Mus musculus: one gene and its partners. The protein of the gene in region 5 purifies or fractionates together with the protein of the main gene of each other region. This does not show direct contact. Links are inferred from orthologs where the notes say so. Each region holds a gene or a part of one and is shown on either strand. Other genes may lie near its edges.

Evidence for each region.
Region 1: the proteins of Ss18 (region 5) and Smarcc1 purify together in Homo sapiens (affinity purification with mass spectrometry; 4 studies listed by BioGRID and IntAct, counting the BioPlex papers as one, with this or other methods). This does not show direct contact. The link is inferred for Mus musculus from reciprocal best matches to the Homo sapiens genes SS18 and SMARCC1.
Region 2: the proteins of Ss18 (region 5) and Arid1a purify together in Homo sapiens (affinity purification with mass spectrometry; 7 studies listed by BioGRID and IntAct, counting the BioPlex papers as one, with this or other methods). This does not show direct contact. The link is inferred for Mus musculus from reciprocal best matches to the Homo sapiens genes SS18 and ARID1A.
Region 3: the proteins of Ss18 (region 5) and Dpf2 purify together in Homo sapiens (affinity purification with mass spectrometry; 4 studies listed by BioGRID and IntAct, counting the BioPlex papers as one, with this or other methods). This does not show direct contact. The link is inferred for Mus musculus from reciprocal best matches to the Homo sapiens genes SS18 and DPF2.
Region 4: the proteins of Ss18 (region 5) and Smarcd1 purify together in Homo sapiens (affinity purification with mass spectrometry; 5 studies listed by BioGRID and IntAct, counting the BioPlex papers as one, with this or other methods). This does not show direct contact. The link is inferred for Mus musculus from reciprocal best matches to the Homo sapiens genes SS18 and SMARCD1.

What each region holds. Positions count from the first base shown.
Region 1 is NC_000075.6:110,130,715-110,134,823, forward strand, and holds the start of Smarcc1 (SWI/SNF complex subunit SMARCC1), read left to right. Parts: upstream 1-1,309; 5' UTR 1,310-1,402; coding exon 1,403-1,594; intron 1,595-4,109. UniProt on the Homo sapiens protein: Involved in transcriptional activation and repression of select genes by chromatin remodeling (alteration of DNA-nucleosome topology).
Region 2 is NC_000070.6:133,751,186-133,755,219, reverse strand, and holds the start of Arid1a (AT-rich interactive domain-containing protein 1A), read left to right. Parts: upstream 1-1,234; 5' UTR 1,235-1,608; coding exon 1,609-2,751; intron 2,752-4,034. UniProt on the Homo sapiens protein: Involved in transcriptional activation and repression of select genes by chromatin remodeling (alteration of DNA-nucleosome topology).
Region 3 is NC_000085.6:5,910,072-5,914,144, forward strand, and holds the start of Dpf2 (zinc finger protein ubi-d4), read right to left. Parts: upstream 2,801-4,073; 5' UTR 2,702-2,800; coding exon 2,670-2,701; intron 1-2,669. UniProt on the Homo sapiens protein: Plays an active role in transcriptional regulation by binding modified histones H3 and H4. Is a negative regulator of myeloid differentiation of hematopoietic progenitor cells. Might also have a role in the development and maturation of lymphoid cells.
Region 4 is NC_000081.6:99,700,819-99,705,086, forward strand, and holds the start of Smarcd1 (SWI/SNF-related matrix-associated actin-dependent regulator of chromatin subfamily D member 1), read left to right. Parts: upstream 1-1,468; 5' UTR 1,469-1,503; coding exon 1,504-1,680; exon of another isoform or gene 1,681-1,972; intron 1,973-2,287; coding exon 2,288-2,475; exon of another isoform or gene 2,476-2,684; intron 2,685-2,772; coding exon 2,773-2,815; exon of another isoform or gene 2,816-2,919; coding exon 2,920-3,042; intron 3,043-3,512; coding exon 3,513-3,635; intron 3,636-4,268. UniProt on the Homo sapiens protein: Involved in transcriptional activation and repression of select genes by chromatin remodeling (alteration of DNA-nucleosome topology).
Region 5 is NC_000084.6:14,680,115-14,684,414, forward strand, and holds the start of Ss18 (protein SSXT), read right to left. Parts: upstream 2,801-4,300; 5' UTR 2,622-2,800; coding exon 2,553-2,621; intron 1-2,552. UniProt on the Homo sapiens protein: Appears to function synergistically with RBM14 as a transcriptional coactivator. Isoform 1 and isoform 2 function in nuclear receptor coactivation. Isoform 1 and isoform 2 function in general transcriptional coactivation.

The sequences.
Region 1 (4,109 bases), on a different chromosome or scaffold from region 5:
GTTCCAGAATTGAATTTAGGTCGTCACTATTGGCATTACCCGCTGAGCCATTTCACTGCCCTGCTCCATTTTGTTGTTGAGACAGGGTCTCTGTATGTAGTCTTGGAACTCACTATGGTAACAAGCTGGCCTAAAAGTCAGCGACCTCCTGAGTGCTAGGATTACTACCACCCAGAATTAGGTATGGGTGATGTATGTGTGCCACAGTACACAGTCAGGGTGTAACTTCGTGAAGAATTTCACCTTCTACTTTTATGAGAATTCTGGGGTTCCAACTCAGGTTGCCAAGCTTTTTAAGAACTGAGCCAAATACATAACCTGAGACAACTAGTCTCTTTTGTTTGTTCAGGCAGGGAGGGTTTCCTGTAGCCCTGGTTGTCCTGGCTTTCAAGCTCTATGTACATCAGGCAGGCCTGGAACTCAGAAAACCTCCTGCTTCTACCTTATGGGATTAAAGGCGTGCACACTACATCTTCTAGGCTATCTCCATTTTTTTTTAAGGTCTATAAACTCATCACACCTCCTCACTTGGAGCTTCGTGAACATATCATGTTCACGTTTCCAATACAGCCAATACATTGTTTACAATGTAAACTTTCAGCCTTCATATAGCCTTCAAATGTAGATAAAGCGTCCAGTTCCCAACGCGGATGATAAAAACACCAGGTTGAAGAGAGAGCTACAAAAAAAACCGTTGGGTAATTGTGATCACTTGTTCACTCAGGGACTGGTTTTCTGGAATACTTTTAAAGTGATGAATTTGAGAGAGTGCGAATCACAAAGGAAGATAATGTCCAGGTCGCAGAAGTAGCTGGAGCTAGGCCGACTAAGCAGAAACCATCTGATGTGGTTCGAGAAACATTAATGAAGCCCCAAGAAAGACTAGGTCTTTAATGCAGGTCCCCAAACCGACGCGGCCTCCGGGACTAGCAGGAATTGCTTACTAGCGCTCGGGGGCGGGTACGCGGGGGGGTGGGGTGGGGTGGGGCTCGGCTCGCACTGCACACCCTAGACCGCTTTTTCTAGTAGAGATACAGAACCTCCTTGAGATTGTTGACCGCCTAACGAATAGACAAACGGGGCCCGGAAGAGTCATTCGTAGTGTCTACCAACAGCAGAGGCTGAGGCTCAGTTCCGAGAGACCAGAGGAAAAGGCGGGCAGCCTCAGTCCGTAGGGGACTACCGGCGTGCTGCGCATGCGTACGCCCGCTCTCAGTGCCTGTTCGTTGCAGCTTTAGGGTCCAGAAGGGGCGTGGCCGCGCCTCGGCGCCGGAAGAGGGTTGGCTGGGCGGGGCTAGGAGGAGGAGGAGGAGGTGGCATCTGCGCGCGCGCGCGCGGGTGCGAACGGGAAACGCCGCGAGGGCCAGGCTAGGCCGGGCGGTAGACACGACGGACGGTGACTATGGCCGCGACAGCGGGTGGCGGTCCGGGAGCAGCAGCAGGCGCCGTGGGTGCAGGGGGTGCGGCGGCGGCCTCCGGGCTGGCCGTGTACCGGAGGAAGGACGGGGGCCCGGCCAGCAAGTTTTGGGAGAGCCCGGACACGGTGTCCCAGCTAGATTCGGTGCGAGTCTGGCTGGGCAAGCACTACAAGAAGGTGGGTTCGCGCGCGCCCGTGGGGACCGAGGAGCCACGCGACGGGGGCTGATGGTGGCTGCCCGCTTCGCATGTCTGGGGCCGCCCCTCCCCCCCCCCCTCCGCGCGCCACGAGGGACAACAAAGGCCGGCTCGGCGCTTGCCACGCCCCCGCGGGCGACTAGGCACGCGGCGACCTGGCCCCAGCTGCTGGCTCTCTGGGGCCCACGTACTCGCGTGGGAAGCCCCATCTCACTCTCTCTTATGTGCAGGAGAGGTGGAACTGGACAGAGTCGCAGAGCGTGTGTTTCTGTTCTTTTGTTAGCTGCCTTAGGTGTGTGAACAAAGAGCCCATCCTAATAAAAGTATCTTGAAGTTTTGTTTAGAGACCAGTTGTTGAGCGTCTAGGTAACTAAGGGCTTGCTACCCTATGTGGATTAGTAGGGGACCTTGGATGACTGGCCTTGTGGATTCATGTAGGTTTAAACCTTGTATTGTACAATTGATATAGAACTATTAAAAGTGTTGGTTTTCCACTTCATTGTACTTTAGGTGGTGTGTAAGGATGTGAGTACAAGCGAGAGTTAGGTTTTTTTGTTTGTTTGTTTTGTTTTTCGTAGCCCTGGCTGTCCTGGAACTCACTTTGTAGACCAGGCTGGCCTCGAACTCAGAAATCCTCCTGCCTCTGCCTCCCAAGTGCTGGGATTAAAGGCATGCGCCACCACACCTGGCGAGAGCTTAGTTTTTATCATATATATATTTTTTGCAATGTTAATTTTTTTGGGAAAAGTGTGTTTCCCGTACTTTAGAATGCAAATTCTGCTGAGTCAGTTGTTTTACAAAAGTCGTGAATTAACCCTTTGTTGACACTTTAAAAAGAATTACAACTATTTACTTTGGAGGGGTACACACAACTCCTGTTTTCATGTCCACTTAAGCAAATCAATTCTCCTCGAACACCATACTGGTCCAGGAATTGAACTTAGATACTTTTTTTTTTTTCAGAGACAGGGTTTCTCTGTATAGCCCTGGCTGTCCTGGAACTCACTTTGTAGACCAGGCTGGCCTCGAACTCAGAAATCAGCCTGCCTCTGCCTCCCAAGTGCTGGGATCAAAGGCATGGGCCACCCGGCTTGAATTTAGATCTTGATGCTTGTGACAAGTGCTTTTACCCATGTGTTTCCACCTCACTGGCCCCAATAATACCTCTAGTAAAATTTCACCTTTATATAAATGTTGAAAAATGAATCCCTTAGTTGATATGATGAAACATCCAAAACACTTCCTCTACTCTTAAATTAAGTAGTAGTGGTTACCCCATTGCGGACCCAGAGTGGGTGTTGAGATTTACAAGCCTGAAAATGCATCTCCATGTCCTGGCTCATAGTTGACATTTAACTGTCTCACCTTGCATAATAGTTGTTTAGTGTTTGTTGAATGAATGAAAAGTTAAACTAGGACCTGGGGATTTAAATCAGTTTGTAGAGTGTTTGTTTAGCATGGGTTAGGTCTAGAGTTTGAACCCCAGCACCCAGCAGAGAGCCACCAAAACCAGGCATTGGTGGCTCTCTGCTGCAGTCTTTTGAGAGGTGTGAAGTTCAAGGCCATCCTTTGTATGGATGGAAGGTTAAGACAAGCCTCAAGTACCAATATCAGACTCTGTCTTAAAAAACTAAAAAGGGACAGACTAGTCTGAACCATTTCATTCAGTGTCTGCAGCTTAGTGAAGCCTATTTGTGTTTGACAGGGAGCTTGGGTTGCTTTGGTAATACACTGGTGTTTTCAGAAGTGGTCATGTCTCTAAAGCTTTGAAGTCAGAAATACAGTTGACTTATTTCTGCTTGGTGTACCTTACACTTTGTCCTCTTCCTCCTCTCCCTGCTCTCCCGTTTCTGACACCATCTCACTATTTAGTCCAGACTAGCCTCAGACTTAGAAAGAGCTGCCTCCTGTCTTCGCCTAGGATTGTAGGCATGGGCCACACACTGGTTCATTAATTATTTCTATTGCATTTTACAGTGTATTTAGGACATACAAATGTAAAGGTTTCTTTGTGTGCGGAACATGCATGTCAGTGTCCACAGAGGCCAGCAGAGGGCGTCTCATTCCTTGGACCCGGATGTAAACTGTATTATCCGGGTGCTGGGACCTGAACTCTGGTCTTTGGGAAGAACAGTAAGCAGTCTTTTATCCTCTGAGCCATCTTCAGCACTAGAACAGAAATTTAAATATCAGCAATTAATATGAAACAAGTGAGACATGAAAGGTCTCTTTTCTTTCTGCCTGGGCTATAAGACTTCACTTCCAAAAACAAAACAAAAAACCAAAACTCACTGCTCCGAAGCCCCAGAGCTCCTTTTGTGGGCCGCAGATCCTGCTTTCAAGTCTAGAGTTCTGGGATTATGAGGATGAGCCACAGTGGTGGACTCAAAAAAAAAAAAAAGTTTTGGTTTTAGTTTCTCTGTGTGGTTGTTTTGCCTGCGTGCATGTCTCTGTACCAGAGTTTGTCTGGTGTATGTCTAATCTAGAAGAGAGCT
Region 2 (4,034 bases), on a different chromosome or scaffold from region 5:
TTTGCCTGGAGGACTGTCTTAAGCCCCCAACGCATCAGTAGCCACCATTTTAAGAGAAGTGGTGGGATGACCACGTTTGATTTTCAAACCTCCTGACACTGATCTGATCCGGTGGTTGGATTTGTTCACAACGTAAGTGCCTTTCTTTTCTCTTTTCCTCCTTTTCTCTGGCTAAGTAGACAAGATGCGGCTTCGGCCACTCACTCCACTTTTTATAGCCACACACTTCTGCCCTCTGACTTTAAGTGACCTGGGCAGTCCCCTCCCTTCAGTCTGTTGGTAAAATGGGGGGGGGGGAGATAATCCAGACCTCATGCCCCCAGGGCCTTGTCAGAGAGGGCTAATGAGGGCAGGGCACGGGAGAACCGATAGTTTGAACAATGGTCAGTCCTCCTTTGGGGCTAGCCAAAGGGGGGGAAAAGCAGGGCTCGCTCAGCTGGGTCTCTAGAGCAGGTCTGCAAAAGGCTTTGAAGAAGAAAAGTGCTGCGGAGGTGCTAAGTCGCAGCCAAGAGCCCAGGCCCGGTGCCAGGGGGTCAGGTCCCGGCCGCGGCGGCCGCGGTTTCGGGCTCAGGCCAATTTTGCAGGCGCGGGTAAAGTTCACGCGGCCCGCTCCCTTTGGAGCGGCCGGGAGGGGACAGGCCAGGCTGGGAACGCGGCGAGCGAGGCGGCGCAGGCTCCGGAGGCGCGGGCTCCGGGCCGGGTTTTCCCCGAAGCCTTCGGCGGCGGCGCAGCCGAGCGAAAGAGGCTGAGGGCTTGCCGCCGCCGCCGCGGCTCCTTCTCTCCCCTCCTCCTTTGTGAGGGGAAGGGAGCGAGTCCATTCCACGGCCTGCGCCCGCTCCGCGCTCCAGTCCTGGTTTTTCAGGCGGCCGCGACGGCGCTGGGTAAAATGGCAGTGCTGAGCCTCGTGTCGGAGTGAGGGGGACTCGGAGGAGAGTGGGGCGCTCTAGCTGCTCAGTCCCGCCGCCCGCCCGCCCGCTCTCTCGTTCGCTCTCTCGCCCGCCCGCCCGCCGCCAAGCAGCAGCCTCGGCCCGAGCCGCGGCCGGGGAGGCGAGGCAGGGCGCCCGCCAGAGCAGCGCTCCTACTCTGCCTCCCGGCGCCCCGTCCGCCGCCGCGCGCCCTCCAGCCCGCCCGCCCGCCCGCCCGTCCCGGGTCCCCCCTCCCCCCCCGCTCCCTCCCTCCTTTCCCGCCCCCTCCCCCTCGCCTCCCTCCCTCCCTCCCTCCTCCTTTCTCCGGCAGCAGAAAGCGGAGAGTCACAGCGGGGCCAGGCCCTGGGGAGCGGAGCCTCCACCGCCCCCCTCATTCCCAGGCAAGGGCTTGGGGGGAATGAGCCGGGAGAGCCGGGTCCCGAGCCGCCAGAGCCCGGAGCAGCTGAGCCGCCGGCGCCTCGGCTGCCGCCGCCGCCTCCTCCTCCTCCTCCGCCGCCAGCCCGGAGCCTGAGCCGGCGGGGCGGGGGGGAGAGGAGCGAGCGCAGCGCAGCAGCGGAGCCCCGCGAGGCCCGCCCGGGCGGGTGGGGAGGGCAGCCCGGGGGACTCGGCCCCGGGGCGGGGTGGGAGGGGGGAGAAGACGAAGACAGGGCCGGGTCTCTCCGCGGACGAGACAGCGGGGATCATGGCCGCGCAGGTCGCCCCCGCCGCCGCCAGCAGCCTGGGCAACCCGCCGCCGCCGCCCTCGGAGCTGAAGAAAGCCGAGCAGCAACAGCGGGAGGAGGCGGGGGGCGAGGCGGCGGCGGCAGCGGCCGAGCGCGGGGAAATGAAGGCAGCCGCCGGGCAGGAGAGCGAGGGCCCCGCCGTGGGGCCGCCGCAGCCGCTGGGAAAGGAGCTGCAGGACGGGGCCGAGAGCAATGGGGGTGGCGGCGGCGGCGGAGCCGGCAGCGGCGGCGGGCCCGGCGCGGAGCCGGACCTGAAGAACTCGAACGGGAACGCGGGCCCTAGGCCCGCCCTGAACAATAACCTCCCGGAGCCGCCCGGCGGCGGCGGCGGCGGCGGCAGCAGCAGCAGCGACGGGGTGGGGGCGCCTCCTCACTCGGCCGCGGCCGCCCTGCCGCCCCCAGCCTACGGCTTCGGGCAAGCCTACGGCCGGAGCCCGTCTGCCGTCGCCGCCGCGGCGGCCGCCGTCTTCCACCAACAACATGGCGGACAACAAAGCCCTGGCCTGGCAGCGCTGCAGAGCGGCGGCGGCGGGGGCTTGGAGCCCTACGCCGGGCCCCAGCAGAACTCGCACGACCACGGCTTCCCCAACCACCAGTACAACTCCTACTACCCCAACCGCAGCGCCTACCCCCCGCCTCCCCAGGCCTACGCGCTGAGCTCCCCGAGAGGTGGCACTCCGGGCTCCGGCGCGGCGGCGGCCGCCGGCTCCAAGCCGCCTCCCTCCTCCAGCGCCTCTGCCTCCTCGTCGTCTTCGTCCTTCGCACAGCAGCGCTTCGGGGCCATGGGGGGAGGCGGCCCCTCAGCGGCCGGCGGGGGAACTCCCCAGCCCACCGCCACCCCCACCCTCAACCAACTGCTCACGTCGCCCAGCTCGGCCCGTGGCTACCAGGGCTACCCCGGGGGCGACTACGGCGGCGGGCCCCAGGACGGGGGCGCGGGCAAAGGCCCGGCGGACATGGCCTCGCAGTGCTGGGGGGCTGCGGCGGCGGCGGCGGCGGCGGCAGCGGCCGTCTCGGGAGGGGCCCAACAAAGGAGCCACCACGCGCCCATGAGCCCCGGGAGCAGCGGCGGCGGGGGGCAGCCGCTCGCCCGGACCCCTCAGGTACACAGCCGAGCGGGGAGGGGGCTGGGGCCAGCGGGGCCGGGGGGTGGGCTGGGTGGCGGCTGCGGGGAAGCAGGCCCCGGCCGTGGGCTCCCCTCGGGCTTGGGCCCCCACTGCCGGGGAGCTGCCATTGTCTGGCTCTTCTCTCTTAAAATGGCTGCCTGTCTGCCTTCCTCTCCTTCCCTCGATCAGCCTTTGTGTGGGGCTTTTCCAGGGGTGTCTGTCCGGTTTCTCCTCCTCCGCTGGTCCTTTCGAACTCTGGGGGTCTCCAGGGGGGTGCAGAGCAAAGTGTGCCTGGAAGGGCCAGGCCCGGTCGCGGGGGGGGGTGCTGGGGGTTCAGGTTAGGGGTGTAGGCAGTGTCATGAATCCGGGAGAAAGAAGCAACGTTTTCTTGCTCACCTGCCGCTCCTCTGATCCCCCTTGCCTTCCTCTAGGCCGTTCCCCAATATACGCTTTTAAAGAGTGGCCCCTAGGGCTCGGGGGACCTCGGGGGAGAGCTGGGGCCTGCTTGGGGGCAGCTCGAGGCCGACTGTGGTTCGCTCTGGGCCGCCGGGGCCACCTCTTGCCTCAGTCTCCGGCGGCCCAGTGGCCTGGGCTTCTCTCTGAAGTGCTGGTAAACACAGAGTGATTGGAGTAGTAAGTGCAGATTGCTTTGGTTTGGGATTTGAATTATGGAGGTAAAATCCTTCTGTCAAAGCCAGGAGACAGTTGGTCTTAGGTTGACATCCTATCTGTGATCTGATTGGCTCCCCATCTTCTGCTCTTGGCCATTTATAATTGCCTCTGATGTAATGGTACAACAATCCTGATGAGCTCATAAACTTTTACACTCTGCTTTTCTGCCAGTGATAACCCAAACCTTCGCTGCCACTATCCGCCTTTTATTCCAGAGCTGAAATTGGCTGTGACCTTGAGGAGGGAGGTTTAAGCAGCAATACTGTATCAGCAGGAGCAGAGTCCCAGACAGGCTGCCCTTGTTACATTGTGCCTGAAACAAAAGAGGAGGCGATGGCATTTTGCTTGCACCTTGGATTTATTTTGCTTGTTATGTTTTATGCAGTCTGAAATAGATTCTGTGTTGTTGGAACAGTAGCTGAGTTTTTCTCTACAATGGGTTTGCTGTTTGTTTTCGTTTTTGTTACTTTCCTGATGGTATAAATGAGTTCTTTGATGGCGCTGAAGATACATTTGTCTTGAGTAGTTTTTGACACTGTTCACTTATACTGTTGAGTTACAGAACTGAAATTATTTTACTGGCTATTTTTTTATGAAAAGCAAATGTA
Region 3 (4,073 bases), on a different chromosome or scaffold from region 5:
GATGAAGAGAATAGGGATAAGAATGCATGAAAAGCAGGAAGGAGTAAGGTCTCAGTGTCTAATGCTATTACTAAAGCTGTATCAACAAGCCCTAATGTAGACTCTGATGGGGACTTTCACTGAGCAGTCACAAGAGACCACTGCACAGCTTAGTTTGTTCCCAGCAAACACAGCACACACAGCAACACTACAAGTACAGCCTGAGTGGGTTCAGTGAGCAGGAATAACTATAATTAAGGGATAAATGTGCTGGAGAGCACAGCACAGAAGAGAGCAGGCTCACACTGGCTCGCCTTTAGGAGGCAGCCACGTCCTTACCACACAGGAAAATTGGATAAACAAGGCTGACTGCAGCAGCTCCTTTGTTTCTGCTGATGGGAATTGATACTGACACTGGAAGTCAAACGGAAGAAAGGACCAGCCCTGTGGGGCTGAAGACTGCAAAGTCAGAGTGCGGAGCCTGAGGGAGGCCTGGAGGGATGACTGGAACGTCCAGTCGGGGCCCCTGCAGGCCAGGTAAGATTCTAGAAGGCCAAGCAGGTGCTCTAGTAGGAAAGATGGCCGGATAAGACTGCATGAGTGTGTGCATGTGTGCGTGTGAAGAGAGCAAAAGAGGAGAGTGCACACAAATTCAAGACTCTGTAGCAAAAAATTCCAAGCTTCTGTTATTCTATGGATAGCCTTATATAACTCTAGAAAGTTTTAAAAACTAGCTGGCAGCCATGGTTATTTTAACACTAGTATTTACTCTAATAAGACCACTATAAAGACTATTTCAACCATGACGTTGTAATTGAGAAAAACAGAAAATTAAGACAGAAAGTCTTCTCACACGGCAAAAAATGAAAAAGATGAGCTAGTGGTCTTTCCCTCAGTGAGTGATGGCAGCTGACAGAAGACAGAAGCATACTATTTTTTTTAAAAAGGCATCAGAAAGGCATCTTTCCAGAGTGAGAATGGTGTGAGAATCAAAGCCTTCCCTGTAAAGGGAAAGTTCCCCGGGGAACATGTTAGGAGCTTCCAGTCTTCTGCACTACAGCTGAGGAGAAGCAAGTTAGTGCCCCACTGATACTCAGGAACCAGTGAGTTAAAGAGGCATGAAGAGCAATGCTCTATTTAAATGGGCACCCAACACTTAAAATACTACACCAATGGGTTGGCAACTCCATTTTCTGCCAGACCATCTTTCAACATGAAGAACTCCATTGACATCTAATTCTGAAAACCTAGGCAAGCATATTCTTTTAGACAGTAAGATTTTCAGGGTAAAAGCTGTGACTCCTCCTTTCACAGGAAACCTGGGGGGTGGGGAGGGGGCACAGGACAACTCCCCTTCCAGGGGAATAAGGGGGGTCCAACAAAGAGAAAGGCAGGGTAATAAAGACTTAACTTCTGAGTCCAGAAGGAGAACTATAAAATTGGTAAATTAACAGCCTCATTTCTAAATTGAGGGAAATGTCAGCCTGAAGAGAGCCGGGGATCCGGAGTGGGCAGATCACAGAGATAATAGCGTTGGGAGGAGGGGTGGTTGAAATAGGCAGCAGGATGAAGCCAAAAGCGAGATTAAAAAAAAAAAAAAAGCCACAAGAGAAGGCACTTAGCTTAATGGAAGTGGAAAAGCATTTTCAAAGAAAGGGGCTGCAAGCAGCAGGGAAGAAGCAACTTAACCTTAAAAAAAATTTTTTAAAAGCCTCTTGGGACGATTGGGGCTCAGCCCACGACAAAGACAGATAAAGCTGCGAAAAGTCCTCCAGAATGGTTCCAAAACCTTTACTTTGTCATCCAGAATCCAAAAGCTTTGATTGGACAGCTGAAACACTTCAATTTCTCTATCCTTACATCACGTCTAACATGGCCATTAAGGGAAGAGAAGGCCATTCTTAAATCCAATGGGCACCCCGTTCCAAAACTCTGATTCTTCTTCAAGAAGGAAGGAAGAGCCTCATCCAAACATCTCCAACTGAGGGGAAGCGACTAGCAGGCCAGTCCCCGTTCCCGGTGTCGCCCAACAACCGTTTATTTCAGCTCCACTGGAAATCTGACCCGCACAATGGCATCTGGGGGACAGAGAACGCCCACCTCAGGGCTCCTGCGGACTGGAAGGCCATCTGGCTCCGGTCTAGTTCCCCACTCCCCGAAGTTCTGCTCTTGGACCAGTTCTTCCCAAGAACATTTTTAGTTTCGTGGACCCCGGATTTCCCGGTTAACGTCACCAGGCTGCTTAAGTCTTAGGACTCCGCAGGGACGGCGGAGCCTATGGCCCCAGGGACGGCGGTGGGCGGGGAGGGGACCCCGATCTCCTAGTGCCGCCGGCCTCGGCTTGGCGGGACTGACGCGTCTCCAGAGAGGGGCCAGGGACCGTGAGCCTCTCCTTCGCAGCCCGCAGCTCCGCTCGGGGCTCGGCCCGCGAGGAGGACACCCGTCGGGGGCTCCGGTGTGCCCCCCTCCAGTCCTCCACAAGTTTCCAAAAGAAGCCCAGCGCCGTCTCCCGAGTCTCCTGTTGCCCTCCCTCCCAGCAGTCGCACAGCAAGGACTTCCCGGGCATGTCCTTCTCTCTACCTTGTCTCTTCCCGCACCTCCCTCTCTACTCCCAGGTCCTTTACAAGATTTCTGGTACATGAGAGATTAAAAAAGAAAAAAGAGACAAACAAACAAAAAAGACCACTCACAGCTTCACTACATTCTCCACCACAGCCGCCATCTTCCCTGTTCCTCTCCCTCAGGCCGGGAGGCCCCGAAACCTACAACGCGCAGGCGCTAAGCCTTCTCAGGACACAGGGTCCTCGACCCTCTGCGCAGGCGCAGCTAGGGGGTGCGCGCACGCACAGGCCCACGAGAGCGAGCGCTCGAGAACGACCTGTCCTGAAGGAGCCTAGGATCCCAGTGCGCAGGCGCGATTGGAAAACTTACATGCCCTCTGCAGCTCATTCTAGAGATCCGTCTCCCCTCCATTTAGTGACGCCTCAGCTAGGAGATCTGGCTCGGTTGGAAAGTGAGAAAGGTAAGTGAAAAGGCCACGCGGATAGGCTAGAAGTTGCAAACAGTGTCCTGCCTGGCTGGCCGTTAGCCACGAGGTTGACACACAGGGAGAGATTGGTGGGTAGGTAGTGAAAGGTCAGAGTCCCAGTCCTTTAGGTACCTCTGTTCCCAGTCAGCCCATTTTAGAGAATGGAAAGTGAGTGCCCAAAATGGGCTGTTCTTGGGCCTGACTCTCATTCGGACAATTCCTGCCAGTAAACCCGGTCCTTGAACTTCACTGGCACCCACCTCTTCTCTCTTGCTTGCCTCTCTCTCCCTCTTCCTCTCCCTCTCTCTCCCTCTCCCCTCTCCCTCTCTCTCCATTCCTTTGCTCTGTATGTCTGTCTTTGTGTGCGTGCATGTGCCATAGCATATGTGTAAGAGTGAGAGAGCAGCTTGGGGATGTGAGTTCTTTCATTCTACTTTGTACCTGGGGGATGGTGGTCAGGTTGTCAGGCGTGGTGCCCAGAGTCCGTATCTGCTGTGTCATCCCACAAGCCCTTGATTGCTATTACCAAGCCATTCTCCACATTGAAAGTTTTCACTGGTGTGACTAGCCCTCTTAGTTCTATACTATTTATTTCTCCTTCAGTATCGAGTTATGCAAATCCATGAACAAACATGTTTCCCCTTAAAGAAGAAACCAGCCGGGCGGTAGGGGCACACACCTTTAATCCCAGCACTTGGGAGGCAGAGACAGGAGGATTTCTGAGTTTAAGGCCAGCCTGGTCTACAAAGTGAGTTCCAGGACAGCCAGGGCTACACAGAGAAGCACTGTCTCAAAAAAACAAAAGCAAAAACAAAAACAAAACAAGAAGAAGAAGAAACCAACAGGACTCCCTTAAGCCCATTGGCACTGCATCTCAGCCCATTTCTTTTCACTCTTTCTAAGCAGATTTTCATTCGTATTCTGTACTGCCCTGTTTTCCTAGGCTCTCTTCTGCTTACTGAGTGCTTTTGTTCCCACCAGGCCTTTTGAAATAACTCCTAACAAAGTCACCAAACCTCGGTTTCAATGGATTTAGAAGCGATCTACTCTCTGTCCATGTTGGACC
Region 4 (4,268 bases), on a different chromosome or scaffold from region 5:
GGCCTCCTCAACCAGACACCCTTCCCAGGCCAGCTCTCCAATCTCATTCCTGGCCTTCTCTGTCCCCACTGTCTCTTGGTCTCTAATCCCAAAACAGGACTTATGGGCAGATCACCTGTGTACGTTGGCCTGGAGCCAGAGAGCAAGGCTTTGGCATCTTTGAGACCTCTTGGTTCTCAAGAGTTGTTTAGAGATCAGAACTCCCCAGAAAGAAACAGGGCAAAGCTGAGAAATGTACACTGGCTGGGGGGGCAGCAGGAGGGGCTCTGGGTGACGCATGCCTCTGGTCTAATAAACTGGGTTTCAACCATCTCTTCAGTGTTGGTTTTCTGTTTGTTGTTTGGTTTGTTTTGAGACAGGGTTTCTCTGTGTAGCCCTGGCTGTCCTGGAACGGCTCTGTAGTCCAGGCTGGCCTCGAACTCTCACAGAGATCCTCCTGCCTCCCAAAATGCTGGGATTAAAAGCCTGAGCTGCCATTATCCTGCCCAGTGCTGTTTTTAGTTGCAAACTGTGGGTGTTACCTTTAGAATGGAGCTTGCCTTGAGAGCCACACAACTAGAGTAAGGGAATTTGAGTGGTAGCCCGGTGTGGTGGTTATACCTGTAATTCCAGCAGGTAGGAGATGGAGCAGCTATCTTCCATTACACAGTGAGTTTAACGCTAGATTGGGCTACACCAGACCCTACATACTTGATCAGGTAAACACTGATCCTGCTGGGAAAAGACAGGCTCAGGATTCGTCTGATCACTGGGCAGGGGACCAGCAGTTATCTATGGCAACAAATATCCAGGACTCTTTGGAGAAAAGTCACGGGAAAAAACGCATCAAAATCTTAAGTTAAACGTCTGAGGTGAAGGGTCCCGAGCCTTCTCTGTGTATCCCTGGCTGTCCTGGAACTCACTCTGTAGACCAGGCTGGCCTCGAACTCAGAAATCCGCCTGCCTCTGCCTCCCAAGTGCTGGGATTAAAGGCGTGCGCCACCACGGCCCGGCATGGGTTTTCTCTTGCTGATTTGTCTTTGCCACGACATTGATCTCCTTCGAGTTCTACTTTTCCCGAACGAACAAACAGCACGTTTTCCTCTTTAGTACCCGGAGTCTGAGCAGTAGGAGAACGAAAAGCAAGGCAACCAGAATGCTTTGGAGAGGTAAATGCACTGGGCCAAGGTGAAGCATCACTCCAGCCGCCAGCCGGATGGGCTGGGCTCTCTGCAAGGCTTTTTACCGTCCTCCAACCGCGTGGAGGCGCTCGCTCCCGGCACCTCTTTATCCGCACACCGCTTCTCTATGGTGCTCCCTCCTGGCCCGTGAAGGCGGGAGGGAGTGGTCAGCACGCCTTTCCCGCTAGTCGCCCCCTCTAGCCCGTAGTCTCGCTGCTCCGAGCCGCCTGTGCCCGCCGGCGGGCCGGGCCCACAAACAGCCCAGGCGCTCGGGGGGCGCGCGGGGGGCGGGGGGAGTTCCGGTTCCGGTTCTTTGTGCAGCTGCAGCGGCGGCTCCGGGAAGATGGCGGCCCGGGCGGGTTTCCAGTCTGTGGCTCCGAGCGGCGGCGCGGGAGCCTCAGGAGGAGCGGGCGTGGCGGCTGCTCTGGGCCCGGGCGGAACTCCCGGGCCTCCCGTGCGAATGGGCCCGGCGCCGGGTCAAGGGCTGTACCGCTCTCCGATGCCCGGGGCGGCCTATCCGGTGAGTGGGACAGGAGGAGGGGCGCGCGGGCCGGGGGCGGGGCCGAGCGAGGGCGGAGGACTGACAGGGGTGAGGGAGAAGTGGGAGGGACTCCCTGGGGAGGGGCTCGGGCCGGGAGTGGAGGTGTGTGGGGGGGGAGGAGGTTAGCATCCTTACCTGCTCCTGGCGGCATTGTTTCCATGTGAGGAGTGAGTGTGGAACCAGGGTGGGCGAAGTGGGCCCTGGGATGGTCATGGAATGCAGAGGGGAGTGGGCAGCCCCCGTGTCCCCAGGAATACCCAGGCTGTTATAGCTGCAAATGGAGGTCAGCTTTAGAGGAGACAGTAGCTAGTAAAAAAAGAAATGTAGGGCTGACTAGACATGTCTGGTGAGTCAGATCCAGCATAGACCAGAAAAATTGAGTATAATCTAGTTTTTAGACTATATGCAATGAAATCACTGAAGGTCCAGTGACTGTATTTCAAAGAAGCAAAGGACTGTCTTGTTGTCCCCCCACCCCACCCCCAGCCCTAACCCACTCCTGAAATCCAGGCTGCCACCATTTTTCCTTTCTTGGTGGGGCTAGCAAGGAAAAGTATGACATTTCTGGGTCCTCTCCCTTCTGTAGAGACCAGGTATGCTGCCAGGTAGCCGAATGACACCTCAGGGACCTTCCATGGGACCTCCTGGCTATGGGGGGAACCCTTCAGTCCGACCTGGTCTGGCCCAGTCAGGGATGGACCAGTCCCGCAAGAGACCTGCACCTCAACAGATCCAGCAGGTCCAGCAGCAGGCGGTCCAAAATCGAAATCACAAGTAAGATGACCCCTGGGGGTGAAGGAAAGAAGGGTATGGGGGAGAGGAGGCCTGTGAGGATGCTGGTGGTGGGCATGCAGAACCAGGAAGTCAGCGCTGTGGCACCAAACGGTGCTGCAGGGACTAACAGGGCCTCATGATGCAGTGGAGTTTTGGTGGTCATGGGAGAGGTAGCGTCTTTAAATGGAGAGTCATTTCGTAGGCCTTGGCTGTAACCATAAACAAAGGTGCTCACAACACTGCTCACGTTCTGACTAGTTCCTATCCCAACCTGATCACAGTATTTATTCTGAACAGTGCAAAGAAAAAGAAGATGGCTGACAAAATCCTACCTCAAAGGGTGAGTGCAGCTGCAGAGGTCTCCTTGAAGGGGTAGTGGCTTTGAGAATAGAAGTGGTCAGAACGAGGGCTGCCCCATCCCATCTCTGTCTTTCTGTTCCTAAGATTCGGGAACTGGTCCCAGAATCACAGGCCTACATGGATCTCCTGGCTTTTGAAAGGAAACTGGACCAGACTATTATGAGGAAGCGGCTAGATATCCAGGAGGCCTTGAAACGTCCCATCAAGGTAACAGGACAGTACCAGGCTGAGGGTCAAGGGAGGGGCCCAGGTCTCTCTCCAGCTCAGGATGGAAAAATCAAAGGCACAGCACAGCTCTCTGTGGCATTTAAATTGCATCTTTCCCTTCCGCCTACAAACCAGGAATTACATTAGGAGCATAGGAGTCTAACAGCTGGCAGGGAAAGGGGCGGGGGTGGGGGGTTGGGGGGGAGCTATCCAGGGCTCTAGACAGAAATAGACCCGTGCGCGCTTTTTGCTGTAACCACTTGCTACCTTGGGAACATGCCACTTTGCACAATTTTGTCTCCCTAGTCCCCTGGTGCATTCACTTGCACCCAGGCTCAGGTCGGGACTGTACACTTCCGAGTGGAGTCTCTGTCCCCTGTAGTGAGCCAGCCAGTGAGGAGTCACTTGGGAGTTTTAGGGGACCTTTACTACCGAAGCTCCACTGTCGATCCTGTTTCTGCCTTCCTCAGCAAAAACGGAAGCTGCGAATTTTCATTTCTAACACGTTCAATCCGGCTAAGTCGGACGCGGAGGATGGGGAAGGGACGGTGGCTTCCTGGGAGCTCCGGGTAGAAGGCCGGCTCCTGGAGGACGTGAGTTCAAGGTCCACTGTGGTTGGTGCTCAGGGAGGGAGCTGCAGGGGTGGCACTGTGCCGGGTGCTTGGTGCGGTGTGCTCAGCAGGAAACCTGACTGCAGTTCACCACTCCTGCTGGGAGCTTCCGGGAGGGGGCTGGGGGGCTGTGTTCCCTGCATACAAAGACAATGGTCCTTTGTGTCTGCTTCCTCAGCTGCACGGTTTTGTCCTGGGGTCTGGGTTGCTGTTGACTTGGCCCTGGTGATGCTGCCCTTTGGATTTAGCAGTATCAGTGGATGATCTCAGTGGTCCCCATCCCTGCCCGCCACCCATCTGTGCTGAGCCTTTGAGGCCATGTTTCCTCCCTTGAATCCTTGAGGTTATTTCTGTGTTCCCAACTTTCCTTGGAGGTACCACAGTTTAAGTGTGAGAGTCCCCCAAAGGCTTGGCTCTCTGTTGCTCCAAGGGGATCATCAGACTAATGAGCACCCCCAAACTCTCCACCCAGCAGCTCATGCTCACCCAGTGCTGCGCTCTGGCACTATATTTAGCTGTGCAAGTGAGCTCGTTCGAGTGCACTTTTGCTGGAGAACCAGAGCCTCCTGTGGGTAGTCCGGGCTGTTTGCTGGTCATGTGTTCTGTCCAGATAAA
Region 5 (4,300 bases):
AAAAGAAAAAAAATCTTACTTTGTGTATGTGGAATGATATCACATTTAATCAATTCTGTTTAATACCTATCTCAATTATTCTCTTTGAAACTCAGAATGGAAAAAGGGTGTTTCTTTTGACTTATTTATCATCAGTGTGTATTAATCATCTCACTCACACACACACACACACACACACACACACACACACACACTCAGTGCTGTGGTGTGAGGTCAGAGGGCAATTCTGTAGCACTGGCTCTCTCCCTGAACCCAGCTGAACCATCTTCTAGGCCATTGTTTTGGGGTGTCTTGTTTTAAATACAGAAACATTTCATTACCTCTCCAATCTGTAACAGTAGTTTCTGCTAGTTGAAAGTGGACTCGCAGTTGCTACTGGAGCATTCTCATGCTCTAGTGTGAAGGAGGAAATCTCTTCTCCAGAAGGAAACAAACACAGGAGCAGTGCTGCCCAAGGGCCCTGAGGTAATGGCTCAGCTTCTTTTCTAACTGTGCAGATTCATGATTCTCCAAAAGGACACATAGCAATCATCTCTATGCATGTAATTATTAATAGAAGTTTGTAAAATAAACTGAGATATCTCAGAAAGTCCAAAAACCATAAGATTATCATTTTAGCATCTTATAACAATCTAAGCAACCTTGGTTTTGAGGATTAAGTAATTCATCTATGCCAATGGCACTACAGAAGAAAACCTACATGGAGTCCCTAGCACACTATCCAAGTTTGTAGGAGCTTAAGATTTAGGGGGGCATCCTAAGCATGCCCCACCTTTCAAAATTTCATGACAAAACCAAAAATCATTTAACGTGATTTTCAATTAAAAACAAAATCCAATTACCATGAATTGGTATTTCCGGCACATTTATCATTATCTTCGATTGCTAAGAGCAAACACTTTTCTAAAGTGTGCCTCTTAAATATAATCACTATATACAAAAAAATTCTTTTGTTTTTTATTGTTGTTACTATTTTTGTTGTTGTTATCAAGATAGGGTGTAGCGTCGGCTGCCCTGGAACTAACTCTGTGGACCAGGCTGGCCTCAATCTCACAGAAATCTGCCTGCCCCTGAAGGCAGTGCCATCAATTCAATACTCAACCAAGGAATCCACGACACATGAAACAACCCCAACCATCTGCCTCCTGTCTAAACCAACATCTGACACTGCAAACAGAACTTGAATTGTAATGCTTTTGGGGGGCTGGAGAGATGGTTCAGAGGACAAGAGCACTTAATGCTCTTGCTAAGGACCTGGCTGTGGTTTCCAGCCCCCACAGGAGGCTATTAACTCCATTTCAGGGAACTGATGTTTCTTCTGACCTCCCCAAGCACTGCATGCACATGACATACACAGACGTATAAAATAACAAAAGAATTTTAATCCATTTTCACTTTTCATCTGAGAATGAAATATAACCAGTTAGCACCTAGATCAATCACTCACGATAAGCAACTAATAGAAAGAAAAAAAAAAGAAAGAAAGAAAGAAAAAAAAACTCTACTGAGAAAAAGGAAAGCGCCAGACTTTTTCTAGAGTTCAAAAAGAATCCTCTTAGAAACATTCTTTCTGCACGTGTGTGCTTAAAGAAAGCTGTTCACCAGACTACTGGCTCAACCTGGCACTCTAAAGAAACCAACTGCGTTTCCAGACACTGCCAGGCGGGTTTCTTCAAAGAAAAATAAAGCAACAGTTGGGCAAATGTCAAATGCCACACTACAAAGACCCTGACAGTAAACAGAAACCGATGGCCGTAACCCACAGGTCTTCAAGGGTGCCCCGATTGGTACTACAGGTTGACTTGCTCCCCTTAACCTTACTCCGGGGCAGGGAACAAGATCGAAATACTCAGGGCAAGGCAAACTGCTAAACTTAACAGGAGGCGACTTTCAAAAGTCTACCATGCTGAGAGCTAAATAGTGCCTTGCTTTTAGACACTGGCTTAGAGGATAATAAAGAACCTTTGTGTCTCCAGTTGGCAGCCCCGGAGCGGCGACTGGGTGGCACTCTCTGAGGACCCAGCTCCCAGCGCTTCGATCGTGACTTCATGCAAACCGCCCGCCTGTCGCTGTGGACGGCCAACAGCGCTAGGCCAGCGAGAGCAGGCTCGCCCTCCGGAACCCCAGCGCCCGCCCTGCGCGCTCAGGCGCATCTATCTGCTGCAGACCGGAACAGATCCGGGGTGCGATCCCGGGAGCGACCCCGGGGAGCCCCGGAGGCCCCCCGGCTCCTTTCTCGCCTGCCCCGAGACATTGCGGAAGGTTCTCAAGTTCTCCGAAGAGGGCCTCAACTCCGAGGAGTTTGCGGCGCAGCACTCTCGGGTCGGGCTTCCGCGCGTGGGGTCCCGGCGGGGCGACGCCGGAGTCTCGGGGCCGCTTCCTTCACGGCCCCGCGGCGCGAGGCCACCCGGCCCGCGGGGAAATCGGGCGGCGGTTGCCAGCGCTTTTGTGCGGGCAGAGCAGGCGCCAAAGGGCTCCGTCGGAAAGCCGGCGTCAGCCCGCCCCCACGCCACCCCGCCTCGGCCCGCGTCCCGGCGCCTCTCCCGGCTCACCTTCTGGATGGCGGCGGGCGTGATTTCGCCCTTGCCCCGCTGCCTCGGGGCTGCGAACGCCACAGACATGTTGCCGCCGAGCCCGCGATCAGCGAGTCCCGAGCGCTCCAGGGCCCGCGGAGCTGGGGGCCCGACGCCCGCCTCCGGGCAGTTCCACCTTAGGGCGCGCGGTGGGGGGAGGATGCTCCCGGGCCGCGTCCCTCGCTGGCCGGCTTGGCCTTAACGCTGAGCCGCAGCTCCCAGCAAGGAGTGTAAGACGCTCACTGCTGCCGGTGCGGCTCGAGCCCCCGGTCCCGCCGCGGTCCGCCCCGCTGCCCTCACGCGCTCACCGGCCGCACCCCCGCGTCCCTGCGCTGATGGTAGCGCCGCGCCGGCCGCCTCTGCCCGGACGCTCAGGAAATGGTCCCGCCACGGCGGGAGGGAGCGGCTGGGCCGCGCTGTCACAGGAAACGCGGGGCCCGCCCGCCACACTGCCCCAACTGTGCCCTCGACCCTCTGGGGAAGAGGCTCGCCCGGGCGGCCGCCCAGAGGGAAAGAGGACAGTCGGGGCTCCGGAGCGTCTACCGGGTCAGCACAGAGAACGCGGATTCGCTAGTTTAAATGGCTCCCTGCGCTCCACGTGCGCACCTCGGAGTGCACGCTCGTCTAGTCTAGCCTAACAGTGGAGAGAACCCCGGACTCGGAGTTTGCCTAAAGATAGACCCTGCCCACACTTGTGGATCTACTTGATCTGACTTGGGGCCTCTGGAAGGAAGCTGTGAAAAGCCACCCTCTTCTCCAGTTAAATACTTAGTGCTTAATTAGGCCCAGGCTTCAAGTCAGTATGAAGGGAATAAAGCCAACAGCTGCAAATTCAAAAGGAACACGTTGCTGTGGATTAATTCTGCAACATAGACTTCCTAGTCGCACAAAAGAGAAGTTTATGTGAATCGTTACTTAACATCACTGATGCTCAAAAATTAGTGCCTAACTGGATGTCAGGGGTGCTCGCCTTTAATCTCAGCACACAGGAGGCAGAGGCAAGCAGATCTCTGTGAGTTCAAGGCCAGCCTGCTCTACAGAGTGAGTTTCAGGACAGTTAGAGCTACACTGACGGCCACTGTCTCACAAGACCAAAAAATTAGTGTCCAAAATGTTAATAAAGTAAAAAATAAACGTATTTTTAAATGTTATTTCAAATGTCACGGGTCAGTTGCGATTCTGGGGTGTCAGTGCCCTATACGGGTGGTAGAACTGACCAGCTGCAAAGGAAACTCTCAAAGATTTCATGCTGTTTAATTATAGAAAAGATTTACAAAAAGTAAACAAAACCAGATATGCATATAAGTAAAATTTAACGGTTAGCAAACAAGGACAGCACTACAGGCTAGTCGTGTGCCTTAAGTTCTGAACTCTCTGTTGTATTTAAAGAAACCTAAAGGGTGAAGACTAGGCTTTCAAGATGGCTCATCTGGTAAGGTGCTGTGGCCAAGCTTGACATCCTGAGTACAGTCTGTGTGACCAGCATGGTGGAAGGAGAGAACCAACTCAGTCAAATTGTATTCTGACCTCCACATGTGGTTCCCCTACGCTGTGCATATGAAATAGTGCGCGTGCGCACGCGCGTACACACACACACACACACACACACACACACACACACACACGATAGAAGATGAAGACTCTGGCCATTCTAACATCAAAGGATGGAACCTTCTCTCTCCCTTACAATGGTAACTGTTCTTGAGAAGTAACTTCTTGTCTTTCAC